2 linked regions of the Lonchura striata genome follow. The protein of the gene in region 2 purifies or fractionates together with the protein of the main gene of each other region. This does not show direct contact. Links are inferred from orthologs where the notes say so. Each region holds a gene or a part of one and is shown on either strand. Other genes may lie near its edges.

The links.
Region 1: the proteins of SNRNP70 (region 2) and SNRPD1 purify together in Homo sapiens (affinity purification with mass spectrometry; 6 studies listed by BioGRID and IntAct, counting the BioPlex papers as one, with this or other methods). This does not show direct contact. The link is inferred for Lonchura striata from reciprocal best matches to the Homo sapiens genes SNRNP70 and SNRPD1.

What each region holds. Positions count from the first base shown.
Region 1 is NC_134603.1:111,362,183-111,370,534, reverse strand, and holds the start of SNRPD1 (small nuclear ribonucleoprotein Sm D1), read left to right. Parts: upstream 1-5,352; 5' UTR 5,353-5,466; coding exon 5,467-5,480; intron 5,481-6,063; coding exon 6,064-6,140; intron 6,141-8,352. Other genes in the region: SACM1L (phosphatidylinositol-3-phosphatase SAC1), read left to right, coding at 118-187, 290-362, 814-907, 992-1,084, 1,759-1,816, 2,503-2,639. UniProt on the Homo sapiens protein: Plays a role in pre-mRNA splicing as a core component of the spliceosomal U1, U2, U4 and U5 small nuclear ribonucleoproteins (snRNPs), the building blocks of the spliceosome.
Region 2 is NC_134640.1:2,127,943-2,135,894, forward strand, and holds the start of SNRNP70 (U1 small nuclear ribonucleoprotein 70 kDa), read left to right. Parts: upstream 1-4,401; 5' UTR 4,402-4,525; intron 4,526-5,888; 5' UTR 5,889-5,899; coding exon 5,900-6,046; intron 6,047-7,338; coding exon 7,339-7,401; intron 7,402-7,749; coding exon 7,750-7,804; intron 7,805-7,938; coding exon 7,939-7,952. Other genes in the region: KCNA7 (potassium voltage-gated channel subfamily A member 7), read right to left, coding at 1-334. UniProt on the Homo sapiens protein: Component of the spliceosomal U1 snRNP, which is essential for recognition of the pre-mRNA 5' splice-site and the subsequent assembly of the spliceosome. SNRNP70 binds to the loop I region of U1-snRNA.

The DNA.
Region 1 (8,352 bases), on a different chromosome or scaffold from region 2:
CTACTTACCTGAGCTGCATTGACTAGACTCAAGTTTAATAAATACAGCTTTTTTTGAAAGCAAATCCTAATTTTTCTATCAAACTCCTAGCAAGCCTCAATGTGCTTTGTATTCCAGAGACTAGGTGTTCTGCATGTGGGACAGAGAATTGAAGAGCAGGCAGACTTTGAGAAAATCTACAAAAATGGTAGGGTATTTAGAGTTCAAACAATTATTTTTTTCTCTGTAGAGAGTATATAATATTTGTAATATTCTTCCTTAATATTTCTTATTGTTTTCCTAATCACAGCATGGGCTGATAATGCTAATGCTTGTGCCAAACAATATGCTGGAACTGGTGCCTTAAAGACCGATTACACAAGGCAAGTCAGCATTTCTTGTAAGGGCCTTCTGGGTTTTTGAGTGTGTTTGGGATTTTCTTCAAGTCCTCATATCTGAGAAGGTTATTAATCTGGGACTTAGGCTATAAATGAGTTTTTTGCAAGGGTTCAGTTGGTAAAAAGTCATACTAACATCTCCAGATTCCTTGCTGTGTTTATATGAAAGTAAAGGCTATCTGGAAATGAAAACCAAGGTGGTGTGCCATAAAGATGCACATCTATATTGTCTGATGGAAGGAAGTGTTATTTCAGTTTACACTTTTGTTACAAGTATGTGTAGTAATAACGCAGAGGCAGCACTAGATAAATGTATTCATATGCAGGTGTTCATTTAAGGTAGTACACATCCAGATAATGACAGAATGTAAATCTGAAATTATAGTCCTGAATTCATACATCTATTTTAAATATGTTTCACAATTTCTTTTTACAGAACTGGGAAGAGAACTCAGTGGGGCTTAATAATGGATGGCTGGAACTCATTAATACGTTACTACAAAAACAACTTTTCTGATGGATTTAGACAAGTAAGTAAAGCTTTTAACCATGGGGAAATGTATTTGAGAAACATTGCTATGCATTCGAACTCTTGCCTTCCCTTTCTCTTCCAGGATGCGATTGATCTTTTTCTTGGAAATTATTCAGTAGATGAAGTAGAACCTGCTAGTCCTTTACATGTCAAGAAGGATTGGAAGTTCTTAGCTGTGAGTATGGAGACTTTATTTGTAATAGGAGAGACAACAATTCAGTCCCTGGCTTCATTTTGCCTGAGTAGGACTTGTCTGTTAGTCATGAAGCATCCCTGTAATCTGGTAATGTTTCTATGATACCTGCTTATAGGATTAAACCCAGACTTTTCCCTTGACAGAAAATGGAGTGTCCTTGAGGTATTGGAAAAACTACTCTTTGCTTTTTTTCAAATGTGCTTCACCAGGTGGAAGGGGGGAAATTCTACTAGTCACTATCAATGAGTGTTTCCTTATACAGAAGAATCTTGTGGACTTCTTTTCTCGCACTTCTTGCAGAAGCATAGACTGTAACACAAAACACCCATTTTTTTCATTTTTCTTCACCTTATCTTTCTATTTTGAAATGGCATTTGGGAACATAATGGGGTTTAACTGGTGTATTTTTTTTAAAACAAAGCATAAGCCTCAACCTCTCATTTAATGCACAGGAAGTGTATTTCAGTTTTAAATATAATTATTGAATACAGTCTTCCAAATTTTGGAACTGTCCAAACTTTTATTTGTACCTGAATGCAGGTGAATTGAGAAGCAAAGCAAGTAAATAGCTTTACAGTACTACCCATCTTAAAGGAAATTAAGGAACATATTTACTGGTGTATCAAGTGATTATTCTGTTTCTCTTTCCTCAGTTGCCTATTATTATGGTGGTTGCTTTCTCCATGTGCATTATTTGTTTGCTAATGGCTGGTAAGTCACTATTGAATTTAATTTTATAAGACTGGGTTATTTCTCTGTGAACTTTGTGTAAATGGTTACAATAACTGTTCAGTGTAGAATTGCTTCTCTGTCATTCTAAAAGGTGCTTGAACATGGCTCTGGAGATTGAGGTTTAGCACTGTATCATTAGTGTGGAAAAATCTTAGGTGCTGTAGAATACAGTGTTAAGACTCATGTAGAAGTCAATTAAGGGACAGTTAATTATCCCCAAATCTAGATGCACCTTGGTAGACCTGTAGCTTTATCATAGGCTGGATGAAGCCCCAGAGGAATACCTGTCTAATTTTGGGCAGAAAGACAATTCAGAGCGGTCAGATACAGGCATAAGCCTGATTCTGATGGACTTCCTTTTAATCTAAATCTGTGTTGGGAGTGGTGAAGGGTTTTTGCCTCCTGCTTTTGCCTTGAATTTTTTTACATTATTGCCAGTAGAGTTCTTGACTGACTTCCACAGATCTCTGTTCAATGTGTTCCAAGAACTGTGTGGCAAATACAAATATTCCAAGGCAAGGAAACGGAAGATCTGTGGAAGACTTCTGATTTCATTTGACAACAGATTTCTGAGGGAGAGCTTGAAATATTTGCATTTGTCCTAAAGTAAAACTGTCTGCTAATTGGAGATAATGAGCTAAAAGCTTTGTCTGACTCTTTCTCAGGTGATACATGGACTGAGACACTGGCCTATGTGCTTTTCTGGGGAAGTGCCAGCTTTGGAACTTTTGCTATCATCCTTTACAACGGCAAAGATTTTGTAGATGCACCCAAGCTGGTCCAGAAGGAGAAGATGGACTGAATTTGTGTGTGTGGAAAGCGGCTTGGTACTGAGGATTCTTCAAGCCACACTTGGAGTCTCTACTGACCTGCTTTCCACACCAAAAAATGCTCTTATGAACATTCTTCCTTGGCAATGGGGGAGGGGTCAGGGGTAAGGAAACGGTGTCCTGTGGTGGTGGTAGCTTTCAACTGAGACCTGACTTGACAGTCTTAGTTGCAATGGTCTTTGGAATATTGCATTAGTGGGCAGGGCTCCACTCTTACTGGAGTAGTGCAAAGACAAAAGCCAGCTTTTTGGTTCTGGAATGCCTTGGAGCTTAAGTGGACTGCTGAAGCTCATGCTCCACCTGGGTTGTTTCAGCTGGTTTTTTGGCCTTGACAGGAGAGAATTTTGATGCTGTTAATGTCTCAAAATACCCAAATGTTGAAGCATTATTAATGGAACATCTGATAGGGATCTCTGAACAAATATGGCTTCTTACCAATAAAAAGTCTTGGTCCAGATTTACAGCTGGATTACGTTTGTTGTGATAAAGTCTGTGTTAAGGAGTCTTTCGTGCATATTTGTGTGTGGATTCTTTTCACTAAATATGAAAGATTTATGAATCCTAATGCTATTCTAAAATGAGGTTTTTGTCCTGTCTTGTTTATCTAGAACTGATGCAATATTCTGCTAATCATTGTTTGGGTGAAAGGGCAGTGTAATTGGATGTTCCTGAAGTTGCAAATGTCTTGCACTGTTTCAATACTACAGTCTCCATATGAAAATCGAGTAGTTAGTGAGTTAAAATGTAGAATTTTATTTCTGAAGATGTAAACAAAATCAAAGAATGTAAAAGTCCTTTGCAGTGTTTATTCAACCTTCCTTATGCTAAAGTTCCAAAGTACTTCATTATTTTAAGAATGGGTCACAACATAAAAGATTAACTTCATATTGTTTTGCTAGTCAGCTGCTTCTATCCTTGGTTATGTTGAAATAATTTATGAAAGAAGGAATAACAGCCTGAGAAGAAAGCGGTAAGTCTAAACTCCGTATTTCTGCTTGGGAGCAGCAGCTTGCTTTTCATGCATGATACTGTAATACACTCTTTTAAGAAAAAAAAAAAAAATGGAGGAAAAAAACTGCAGACTAATTTGTGCTGGTTAATGTGTGTCTTTAAATTTAGTGCTTCCAAGCTGTATAAAAATAAGGACCAATTTTAAACTATTTTGTCACTTATTTTATATGGTTTGTTCAAAACCAGACATGGAACTTGCTTAAGGCGCTGTGCATTGTTTAATATTTCCTGTAAGTACAGCTGTATATTCAGATTGCAAATATAAAATTTAAATGGGGGGAAGGGACAAAAATGTAGAATACTACTAGGGCTAGCACAGGTGTCATTATTGAAGCTAGAACACAAAACACTGATACTCCAGTGTTCCTTTGTGTCATGACTGAAAATATGTACAGATTTTTTTTTTTTTTCTTCTTCTTTTTGCAACTGTTCATTTTAACCTTGAATGTTTCTGGAGGCCTCTCTGGGTTTTGTGTAAACATAACCTGTTTATGAGCACTAGTACTTGCAAGGTATCAGTTTGCTTCTAGATGCTGTAATGGAAAAATACCAGTTGGTGGCTAACTAGGAAGTCCTCCTAACTTAAAATTTTCAAAGGTGAACTCCCTCATGGGCACAAAGTATAAGAACATCATAGATTCAATATTTGAAAGCAATGGTTCTGGTGGCTCAATGGCAGGTGGAGTTTGAAACTTGGCTCAGTTGTCTTGCAGCCTAGAACTGAGTTGTGCATCTTTGGTAACGAACTTGTTGCAGCAAAGACCAAACTTGAATTGCTAATATAGAAGGTTTGTAAGACTTAGAATAACGTAGGTTTTAGAAGTTGGAAGGCACCTGTGTTTCAGTGCTTTGCAAAGACTCTGTATTTCTAAAATCACAAATGGTGTACTACTCTTCAAATACAATAAAATGTTCAGCTTTTCTACATTGCTGTCTGCAGTGCATTTTGTACTTTGGAGCAGACTGTTCCCAAATCGGAGCTGTTTCACACCTGAAGGCTGCTTCAGTTTTGTGTGTGCTCATTGTTGCAGGTGGGAACCATCACTCAAACAGGGCTGATCTGGGGCAGTGTCTGATCCAGTCTGCACTGTGAGATGTTCACTCCTCTCAGACATGGCTGGATCTCTCTCTGGAGCACCTGTGGCTGGAGTGCTCCAGCGCTGCATCCCCAGGGTCACCTCTGCTCAGGGCCGATGGCTCTCTGTCTCTTTCCTCACAAGGGCACTTCAGTGCCTTATTGGCCATACCAATAGGTGAAAATTCTTGCTATTACAGCTCTGGATCCTGAAGCTGTAACTTTTATCACAATAAATTAGTGCTTTACAGGTTCTAGGCCTTGGATTTCTTTTCCTATTTGTAAAGCTCAAAGCAGGTTTAAAATGAAGTACACTATTTGATTTTTTTTCTAACATTTATTTTTAATTAAGGACGGCAAGCTGGTAGTTGTCAAACCTTACAAAAAGCCAGGCTTTCATAGACCAAGTCCCCTCACTCCTATTCGTATCTCCTTCCCACCATGCCCATTCTTTTTCCCCGTCCCTCTTTTCCATCCTCTCACCTTTTCCCCGCCCTCTCCCCCCAGGGGCGGCAGCAGGCGCTGCTCGGCGCTCGCCGCGGGTCCTCCGGGCCGCTAGGGGGCGCTGTCGCGGCAGCGTCCCGGCGAGCGCGGCCGGCGCGGCCTATCCGAGAGGCGCCTCCGCCGCGCCGTGCCCGCGGCTCTCCGCTCGCCCGCGGCTCTCCGCTCGCCGGGGCTCCCGCCCGCCGCTCCGCGCCCGCCCGCCCGCCGCCATGAAGCTCGTCAGGTGAGCGGGTGGGCGCGGGCAGGGGCGGATGGAGGCGGATTGCCCGCGCCCGGCCGCGGCGGCAGCGCCGGGCGAGCCCGCGCAGTCCGGGCCGCCCCGCGCTCTCCCGCCACCGCGGGCGGGAGCGGGAGCGGCCCGGGATGGGCCCGGCGGGAGCGGCCCGGGATGGGCCCGGCGGGAGCAGCCCCCTGTGCCGGGCCGCTCCCGCCCCGGGACTGCGCGGGTCGCTCGGCAAAGCACCCCCCTCCCCCACCGCCTTTCATTTTTGGAGGGAAACGCCGCGGAGTGCGTTAGCGTTGCTTTCCCGGGATTGTAACGATTTGTAAAATGGTTCCCTCTTTGTACAATAATGGCCGTTTCGCCTGGAAGTGGATGCTGGACCCGGCAGTGTGTCACTCAGGCGTCCCAGCTGCCGGTGGTTGGGCAGGACGCGGAGTGTCTCTGAACATCCCCAGCAGAATTCCTGAGCGCCGTCTTTGGGAGCTCAGGATGCCGAGCTGCTTGGTGCTGCCTGTCGAACGCGTACGGCTTTATGTGGGATTGAACGGGTCTGGAGTTTTTAAAAGGCGTTTTTAATTCACAGGTTTCTAATGAAGCTGAGCCATGAGACTGTGACCATTGAGCTGAAGAATGGGACGCAGGTGCACGGAACGATCACAGGTAGGGCAGGATGCAGCAAATACTGCCCCGCTGCCTTTCGGCAGACAGTTTACAGCCGCGGCTCGGATGAGCTTTTTGTCCTGTGCTCCCTCTTGCGGGGACCAGCACGGGGAAATGCAGGAGATGGGCTTTGTAACTCAGAGCTTTGTGTGCAAGGGCGAGGTGTGTTTGTGTTGCAGGAGTGTCTGGATATTGTTGGGGGTCGCTGGGAACAGCTGGGAGCTGTGACCAGCCACTCCATAGGCAGCCACAAAAGTACTTGGGAAATTCAGTGGGTCACGGATTGTCTTTGATGTTTAGTAGTGAGTGAGTCCATTCACTACTGGTGGACTGAGATTTCTTTGTTTTAAAGGTTTTGCTGGGAGCCTCTGAGCCCAGCTGCAGCTTTGCCTGCAGGCAGGCTCGGGGGGAAGGAAGCGAACTCTTCCAAACCTTGCTTGGCAGTCTCTTAGAATTTTAGTAGCACGGTCACAAAATGGTTTGGGTTGGAAAGGACATTAAAGATTATCCAGTTCTAACTCTCTTCCCAAGCACAGGGATAACTTCCAGTAGACCAGGTTGCTCAAAGCCCCATCCAGCCTGGAACTCTGCCAGGGATGGGGTATCCACAGCTTCTTTGGGCAGCCTTTTCCAACTGATGTGGTCTGAAATTGGTTAAATTTTGCATGTAGACTAAAAAATAAAGTAAATTATTTCTGTTGAACACGTTTTAAGGCAGATCTAGATGGAAATGCATATTTGCATATGTTTGATTGCATGAGAGGCAGGTTTGAGAACGGCAGAGCCGGGTGTGGGATACAGGGCAAAGAGGAATCCTGGCCAAGAGAATCTGCTCTCCCGGTGCTGCCAGAGGTCTGTCCTGTGGGTTCCTAGGAATTCCTGATTACCAGGTGCTTCTTCGTACCACTGAGCTGAAAGTTGCAGAGAATTCTGAAGGGTTCATTATGTAGTTCTCAGGTATTAAAACATGTGCAAGCGAATTTGTTTGCTTTAATAACCTCAGTGAGGAACGTTGTTCTGAGTGTTCTGTGAGCTGTGCTTGGAGACAGCAGGAGGGATGCAGGTGGGGCACGTTGTGTTTAATGAGGCAGACCTTCACAGCTGAGCTGAGGAAGCCACTGCATCTGCCTTCCTAAACTCACCCCCAGGCAGCTTTCAGAAGCTCTTCTGCCCAGGCACTCTTGGAAAATAAAAAGTTACAACTCTTGTTAAGTCTGAATTTTATTCTAGAGGATTGCTGAGGTACTTTTTTGGCCAACAACAATCTGTGGGGATTTGGCAGAGTTCAAAACTGGCATTAGTTTGCAGCCAGGTCCATCAGTTTTTATCGGAGCTGAGTGAACCACCTTGGTTCCCAATGGCAGCGCAAGCTGCTGAACCCAGCCAGATGGGAAGCTAACACTGCTGGTTTCCTTACCTCACTGCTCTTTCAGGCTTAATTGCCTAGCAAAGCCTCTCTCATTTGCTGCTAAGAATCCACAAAAACATTGCACAATATCCTCATCCTCCCAGCTCCAGGGCAGGAGCAGGGCTGAAGGCGCAGGTTTTGTGTAATGCCCCTCACACCAGCCAAGGGACTGGGTCAGTTGGAGCTGTGTAAAATCAAGAGGGAGGAGAGAGGAGAGAGGACAGAAAATAAAGTCACTGTCATCTTGATCTTCATAGCTGGAGGTCAGATCTCACCTAAAGCTCTGCATATGCAAAATAAAAACTTCTGGGGGTTTTTTTATTGCTTCTCAGAGCTGTTACACAGTAAATGCATCCAACTGAGATGTTTTTTTCCAGTTTGGAATTATGCATAACACAGCATAGTGTGCACAATACTAATTCCATACAAGTCATATGTACTGGCTGTTCTCAGACTTTGTAACCACAGTGGCTGTTTCTTGTTGTGGGGTATTTTATGGACTTTCATAGAGAATTCACTCTGGTGTTGAATGTATTTTATCAGAAGGTAAATGTTGCTTTTGTGGTTGGATTCTCCTGAGGCTTACAGAAAAAGGAAATGACCCAGGTTATTTTTCCTCCTCCAAGATTTATTTTACTTCTTTTTAAAGGACTAAAGATTAGTATTCGCCTTCTGTAATAAGCAGTAGTTTATTTGTTGTTTGGAGGAGTTATTTTAATTATTTACAAAGCAGCTATTGCCAGGACCTGGATAAAGATCTCTCACCATGAGGAACTAAAGGCCTCTCATGGTAACTGCCATAAT
Region 2 (7,952 bases):
CCTCCACCGAGAAGCCTTCGGCCTCGCGCAGCCGCTCCTCCGCCTCGTCGCCCAGCTGGTAGAACCTCAGCTCCTCCAGGAACACGTCCAGGGGCACGTCCGGGGGTCTCCGCAGCCGCCCCCCGGACTGGTAGTAGTAGAGCACGGCCCCGAAGGCGCCGCGGTGGCGGTCGAAGAAGTACTCGCGGCGCTGGGGGTCGAAGAAGCGGCGCCGGCGCCGGGGGTCGCCCAGGAGGGTGTCGGGGAAGCGCCGCAGCGTCCGCACCAAGGTCTCGAAGCGCCGGCCGGCCACGTTGATGGCCACGCGCTCGCAGCAGCCCAGCGGCTCGCCCATGCCCGCGGCGCCCCCGCGACGGGGCACGGGCGGGGCAGAGGGCACCGAGGGCAGCCTGGGGCAGGTGGGGGGCGGCCCCGGCGGTCCTGGGGGTCAGCGGGGGGCGAGAGGGTCAAGGTTCTTCAGCGTCGGGGAAACCCAAAAGTCTTGAGGGATACTGAAGGACTTGAGGTCACAATGGGACCCCAAAGATTTGGGGAACCACGAAAAACTGGAGGTCAAAGATTTGGAGGACTGTGAAAATATTTGGGGTCTACAATGCTGGAGGAACCTCAAGGTTCTTCAGCGTCGGGGGAAACCCAAAAGTCTTGAGGGATACTGAAGTACTTGAGGTCACAATGGGATCCCAAAGATTTGGGGAACCCCAAAAAATTTGAGGTCAAAGATTTGGAGGACCCCAAAAATATTCGGGGTCTACAATGCTGGAGGAACCTCAAGGTTCTTCAGCATTGGGGGAAACCCAAAAGTCTTGAGTGACACTGAAGTATTGGGGGTCACAATGGGACACCAAAGATTTGGAGGACTGTGAAAATATTCGGGGTTTACAATGCTGGAGGAACCTCAAGGTTCTTCAGCGTCGGGGAAACCCAAAAATCTTGAGGGATACTGAAGGACTTGAGGTCACAATGGGACCCCAAAGATTTGGGGAACCCCGAAAAATGTTGGCAAGATTGGAGGTCAAAGATTTGGAGGACCCTGAAAATATTCGGGGTTTACAATGCTGGAGGAAACTCAAGGTTCTTCAGCATTGGGGACACCCCAAAAATCTTGAGTGACACTGAAATATTGGGGGTCACAATGGGACTTTAAAGATTTGGGGAACCCCAAAAATATTTGGGATCTACAATGTTGGAGGACCTCAAACTTCTGGGGGTCCCACACTGGGTCTACAATGTTGGAGGAACCCCAAGGTTCTTCAGCATTCAGAACAACCCAAAAATCTTGAGGGACACTGAAATATTTGGGGCCCAATGGGACCTTAAAGATTTGGGGAACCCCAAAACTATTGGAGGTCAAAGTGGGACCCTAAAGATTGGAGGAACCCTAAAATATTCGGGGCCAACAATGTTGGAGGACCCCAAATTTTTGGGGGTCCAACCGCGGTTCTACAATGCCGGAGGAACCTCGAGGTCCTGCGGTGTTGGGACACCCCAAAACTTTTGGGGGTCCCAAGGGGACCCTAAAGATTTGGGGGGCCCCTAAATTCTCAAGTGGTCAACGGTGCTGGAGGACCCTCAGGATCCTTGGGGGGTCCTACAGATTTGGGGGACCCCCTAAACTTAGGGGGTGTCCCAGGGTGACCCCAAAGCCTTGGAGAACCCTCGAGGTCTTTGGGGGTCCCACGGTGACCCCCAAGATTTGGGGGGACCCCAAAAATGTTGGAGCTGGGTGGACCTCGGGGGGGTCTCACGGGGGGTCAGGACCTTTGAGGTCCTCGGGGGTGACCCCAAAGATTTGGGGGGACCCCTCAACTCTTGGTGTCCCCCGGTGTCACTGCGTCCCCCCGAGGGTGTCCCCGGTGTCCCCAAGCCACCAGACCCCTGTCACCGAGTGTCCCAAACCGCCCCCACCCCCAGTGTCACAGGGGTGTCCCCAAGGTCCCCTCCTGTCCCCAAGGTGTCACCGGGGGGTCCCCAGCGGCTGCCACCGGCCTGGCCCCGTGTCACCGCCTGTCCCCAAACCCTGTCCCGGGGGTGTCCCCACCCCTCCTGACCCTGTCCCCGGGGTGTCCCCACTGTCCTGGGGGTGTCCCCACCCCTCCTCACTCTGTCCTGGGGGTGTCCCCAACCCTCCTCACCCTGTCCTGGGGATGTCCCCACCCCTCCTGACCCTGTCCCCGGGGTGTCCCCACTGTCCTGGGGGTGTCCCCACCCCTCCTCACTCTGTCCTGGGGGTGTCCCCAACCCTCCTCACCCTGTCCTGGGGGTGTCCCCACTGTCCTGGGGATGTCCCCACCCCTCCTGACCCTGTCCTGGGGGTGTCCCTGCTGTCCTGGGGGTGTCCCCACCCCTCCTCACCCTGTCCTGGGGATGTCCCCACCCCTCCTGACCCTGTCCCCGGGGTGTCCCCGCTGTCCTGGGGGTGTCCCCACCCCTCCTGACCCTGTCCTGGGGGTGTCCCCACTGTCCTGGGGGTGTCCCCACCCCTCCTGACCCTGTCCTGGGGGTGTCCCCACCCCTCCTCACCCTGTCCTGGGGGTGTCCCCACCCCTCCCGACCCTGTCCCCGGGGTGTCCCCGCTGTCCCCGGGGTGTCCCCGCTGTCCCGGGGATGTCCCCAACCCTCCCGACCCTGTCGACGGGGTGTCCCCGCTGTCCCGGGGGTGTCCCCGCTGTCCTGGGGGTGTCCCCACCCCTCCTGACCCTGTCCCGGGGGTGTCCCCGCTGTCCCCGGGGTGTCCCCGCTGTCCCCAGGGGTTGCCCCCCCACCTTGTCCCCGGGTGCCCCCTCCCCCCCACGTCACCCGGGTGTCCCCAACCCCCCCCCCACCCCCGCCACCACGGGGTGTCCCCGGCCCCTGTCCCTGTCACCGGGTGTCCCCGGCCCGCCGTCCCGCTGTCACCGCCGCTGTCCCGTAAACAGGGTGACAGGGTGGCCCCGCGGTGTCGGGTTCCCCCCCGCGCTAAAAATAACGGGGGGGGGGAGGGTGGGGGGGGGTGACCGGACACCCGGGTCCTCCCCCACCCCGGGGTCACCGAGTGTCCCCAAGGGGGGGTGACATCCCTGGGGGGGGTGACCGGACACCGGGTCCTCCCCCACCCCCCCGGGGTCACCGAGTGTCCCCAAGGGGGGGAGGGACATCCCCTGGGGGGGGGTGACCGGACACCGGGTCCTCCCCCACCCCGGGGTCACCGAGTGTCCCCAAGGGGGGGTGACACCCCTGGGGTGGGGGGGGGTGACCGGACACCGGGTCCTCCCCCACCCCGGGGTCACCGAGTGTCCCCAAGGGGTGGGTGACACCCCTGGGGTGGGGGGGTGACCAGACACCGGGTCCTCCCCCACCCCCCCCCGGGGTCACCGAGTGTCCCCAAGGGGTGGGTGACAACCCTGGGGGGGTGACCGGACACCGGGTCCTCCCCCACCCCACCCCGGGGTCACCGAGTGTCCCCAAGGGGGGAGGGACATCCCTTGGGGGGGGGGGTGACCGGACACCCGGGTCCTCCCCCCCCCCGGGGTCACCGAGTGTCCCCAAGGGGGGGAGGGACATCCCTTGGGGGGGTGACCGGACACCCGGGTCCTCCCCCACCCCCCGGGGTCACCGAGTGTCCCCAAGGGGGGGTGACACCCCTGGGGGGGGTGACCGGACACCGGGTCCTCCCCCACCCCCCCCGGGGTCACCGAGTGTCCCCAAGGGGGGGTGACACCCCTGGGGGGGGTGACCGGACACCGGGTCCTCCCCCACCCCCCCCGGGGTCACCGAGTGTCCCCAAGGGGTGGGTGACAACCCTGGGGGGGTGGGGGAGGGGCGGGGAATGGCTGTCGCCCCTCCCCCATGGCTAACGGGGGGGGGAACACCCCGGTGGGGGGGGGGGGATGGGCAGGAGGGGACCCCCCCACCCCAAAATTGGGAAGGGTGGGGGGGGTGGTGTCACCCTGGTTGTCATAGCAACGGGACGGGGGGGGGGGGGTGTGACCTGTGTAGGGATGAGGGAGGGGGAGCATCCCGGTTGCCGTGGCGACGTGATTTATAATTTTGGATTTTGGGTTTTTATTTTAAATTTTTTTTCTCCGTTGTCATGGAAACCACGCGGGGTGTCCCACGGGGGGGGTGGGTGGCAACCTGGTTGCTATGGCAACGAGACGGGCTGTTCCCTCCCCGTTGCTACGGAGGGAGGGGGGGACCCCGCGGCTGTTCCCGGTTGCCATGGAAACCCCCGGCCCGGCAGCGAAGCCCCGCCCACGTTGCCATGGCGCGCGGTGGGGGCGTGGCCATCTCATAACCACGCCTCCTCAGCAGACCACGCCCACAGCACCGGTTAATTAAGCCACGCCCCTAACAGCGATTGGTCCGCCACGCCTCCTTCATTTGCATGGACACGCCCCTTTGACCACGCCCCCTCACGGAACCGTTACCGGCCCCTTCCCCGCCTTTCCGCCGCCGCCACTTCCGGTTTCGCCCCTCACTTCCGTTGGCGCGGCGGCGGGCGCGCATGCGCGGGGGGCGGCGCGCGCGGAGCCGGAGGCAGCGCGGGGTCCGTGAGGGCCGCGGGCTCCGGGAGGGCCGCGGGCTCCGGGGGCGGCTCCGGGAGGGACCCCGAGAGGGCAGCGGGCCGGGGGGGACCCGCCCGGGAGAGGGGGAGAGCCCCGGAGCGGCGGGGGGCGCGGGGAGGGGTGGGGAGGGTGAGGGGGGGGCGCTGCCCTGAGGGCTTGGGGGGCTGAGGGTGGCTGGGGGCGCTGGGGCGGGGTTGAGGGGTCCAGGGGTGTCCGGGGGGGATTTTGGGGGTCGGAGGGTGGCTCTGGGTGTCCGGTGGGGATTTGGGGGAGGTCTGGGGGTGGTTTTGGGGGGTCTGGGGGGTGTCCAGGGTGGGGTTATGGGGGTCTAGGAGGGGATTTTGGGGGGTCTGGGGGTGGTTTGGGGGGTCTGGGGGGTGTGCAGGGTGGGGTTATGGGGGTCTAGGAGGGGATTCTGGGGGGTCTGGGGGTGGTTTGGGGGGTCTGGGGGGTGTGCAGGGTGGGGTTATGGGGGTCTAGGAGGGGATTTTGGGGTCTGAGGATGGCTGTGAGTGTTGGGGGAGGGTTTTGGGGGGTCTGGGGGGTGTCCAGGGTGGGGTTATGGGGCTCTAGGAGGGGATTTTGGGGGGTCTGAGGGCAGTTTTGGATGTTGGGAGGGGGTTTGGGGGGTCTGGGGGGTGTCCAGGGTGGGGTTATGAGGGTCTAGGAGGGGATTTTGGGGGGTCTGAGGGCGGCTGTGGGATTTGGGGGGGTGTGTGGGGTGGGGTTATGGGGGTCTAGGGGTGTCTGGAGGGGATTTTGGGGGGTCTGTGGGTGTTGGGGGGGTTTGGGGGGTCTGGGGGGTGTGTGGGGTGGGGTTATGGGGGTCTAGGGGTGTCTGGAGGGGATTTTGGGGGGGTCTGGGGGTGGCTGGTGTGCAGTTAGAGGGGCTCAGGAAGGTTTGGGGGGTCCCAGGTGGGGTTATGGGGGTCTGGGGTGCCCAGGGTGGGGTTTTGGGTGTCTGTAATGGGTCTGGGGGTGGCTGGTGTGGGGTTAGAAGGACCCAGGAAGGTTTTGGGGGGTCCCAGGTGAGGTTATGGGGTGCAGTGTGGGGTTTTTGGGGGTCTGGGGGTGGCTGGTGTAGGGTGAAAGGAGCCCAGGAAGGTTTTGGGGGGTCCCAGGTGGGGTTTTGGGGGTCTGGAATGGGTATGGGGGTGGTCGGTGTGGGGTTAGAAGGACCCAGGAAGGTTCTGGGGGGGGTCTCAGGAATGTTCTGGGGGGTTGGGGTGGGTTTTTGGGGATCCAGCGTGGGATGAATCAGCTGCAGCGAGGGCGGAATTTGGGGATTTTGGGGTGGGTTTTTTGGGGTTCTGGGGGTCCTGACCTCCCCCCTGTGCCCCCCAGAGCCTCCCAGGATGACGCAGTTCCTGCCCCCCAACCTTTTGGCCCTTTTTGCCCCCCGGGACCCCATCCCTTACCTGCCCCCCCTGGAGAAGTTGCCCCATGAGAAGCACCACAACCAACCCTACAGCGGCATCGCGCCCTACATCCGGGAGTTTGAGGTACCCCAAAGCCCCCAGACCCCCAAAACCCTCCCCTAAACCCCCCAAACCCCACTGTGGAACTCCCCAAAACCACCCTGGACCCCCAAAACCCTCCCCAGACCCCCAAACTCCACCCCAGGTCTGGCCAAACCCCCACAGATCCCCACAATCCCCCAAAACCCCACCCCAGGACTCTCCAAAACCCTCCCCAGACCCCCAAAACCCTCCCCAGACCCCCAAAACTCCACCCCTAGACCCCCCAAGCCCCACTGCAGAACTCCCCAAAACCACCCCGGACCCCCAAAACCCTCCCCAGATCCCCAAACTCCACCCCAGGACTGGCCAAACCCCCACAGATCCCCACAATCCCTCAAAACCCCACCCCAGGACTCTCCAAAACCCCTCAGGACCCCCAAAACCCTCCCCAGACCCCCACAATCCCCCAGAACTCCATCCCAGGACTCTCCAAAAACCATCCCAGACCCTCAAAACCCACCCCAGGACTCCCCAAAAATCCACCCCAGGACTCCCCAATCCCCCAAAACCCCACTCCAGATATCCCCAAAACCCTCCCCAGACCCCCAAAACCCTCCCATAAACCCCCCAAACCCCACCGCAGAAATCCCCAAAATTATCCCGGACCCCCAGAACCCTCCCCAGACCCCCAAAACTCTACCCCAGAACTCCCCAAAACCATCCCAGACCCCAAAAAACCCCAAAACCCCACCCCAGAACTCCCCAGAACCCCTATGGAGCCCTATAATCCCCCCAAAACCACCAGACCCCACCCCAGAACCCCCCAAAACCACCCTGGAGCCCCATAATCCCCCAAAACCCGGCAAAACCCACCCTGGAAGCCCCCAAACCCCACCCCAGGACTCCCCAAAACTCCCCAAAACTCCCTCAGACCCCCAAAACTCCCCAAACCCTACCCCAGAATTCCCCAGAACCACCTCAGAGCCCCAAAACCCCAACCCAGAAGTCCCCAAAACCACCGTGGACCCCCAAAACCCTCCCCAGAACTCCCCAAAACCACCCCAGAGCTCCAAAATCCCCCCAGAACTCCCCAAAACCCTCTCCAGAACTCCCCAGAACCACCCCGGACCCCCACAATCCTCCCCTGCATCCCCCCAAATCCTCAAAAACCCCTTTCTAGACTCCCCCAGACCCCCATAACTATGCCCCAAACCCCCTCTCCACCCCAAAAACCCTCCTGGACCCCCCAAAACCCCTCTGTGACCCCCCAAAACCCCTCTGTGACCCCCCAAAACCCCTCTGTGACCCCCCAAAACCCCTCTGTGTCCCCCCAGGACCCCCGCGATGCCCCCCCACCGACGCGCGCCGAGACGCGCGAGGAGCGCATGGAGCGCAAGGTACGTCCAGAACCCCCAAACGGGGGGAAACCCCCCCCAGAATGGGGTGCAGCCCCCCTCAGGAGGGCTCAGCCCCTTCCCCACCCTGCTGGGAGTGCTGGGGGGGGTCCCCAAAACTGGCACCAAGGGGGTGTCCCCCCCTAAAATTCAACTCGTCCTCAAGGCAGAGCTTGGTTCTGGGTTTTAGAGGAGCCTCTTGGGTTGTGCTCCCTCCCCACCACTGGGGTTTTTTGGGGTCCCCACTGGATTTTGGGGGGCTGTGGGTGGTCACTGTGGGTTCGGGGACCCCCTGAGATTAATCCCACCCCCATTTTTTGGTCGTTTTTCTCCCTTTTTTTACCCAAACAGCGGCGGGAGAAGATCGAGCGCAGACAGCAGGAGGTGGAGTCCGAGCTCAAGCTCTGTAAGTTGGGGGGATCCCGTGGGGCTGGGGGGGTCCCGTGGGTCTGGGAGGGGTCTCATGGGGCTGGGGGGGTCCCGTGGGGTTGGGGGGTCCCCCCTTTTCCTCTGACCCCCCTTTTTCCTCTTTTCCTCCAGGGGACCCCCACAAT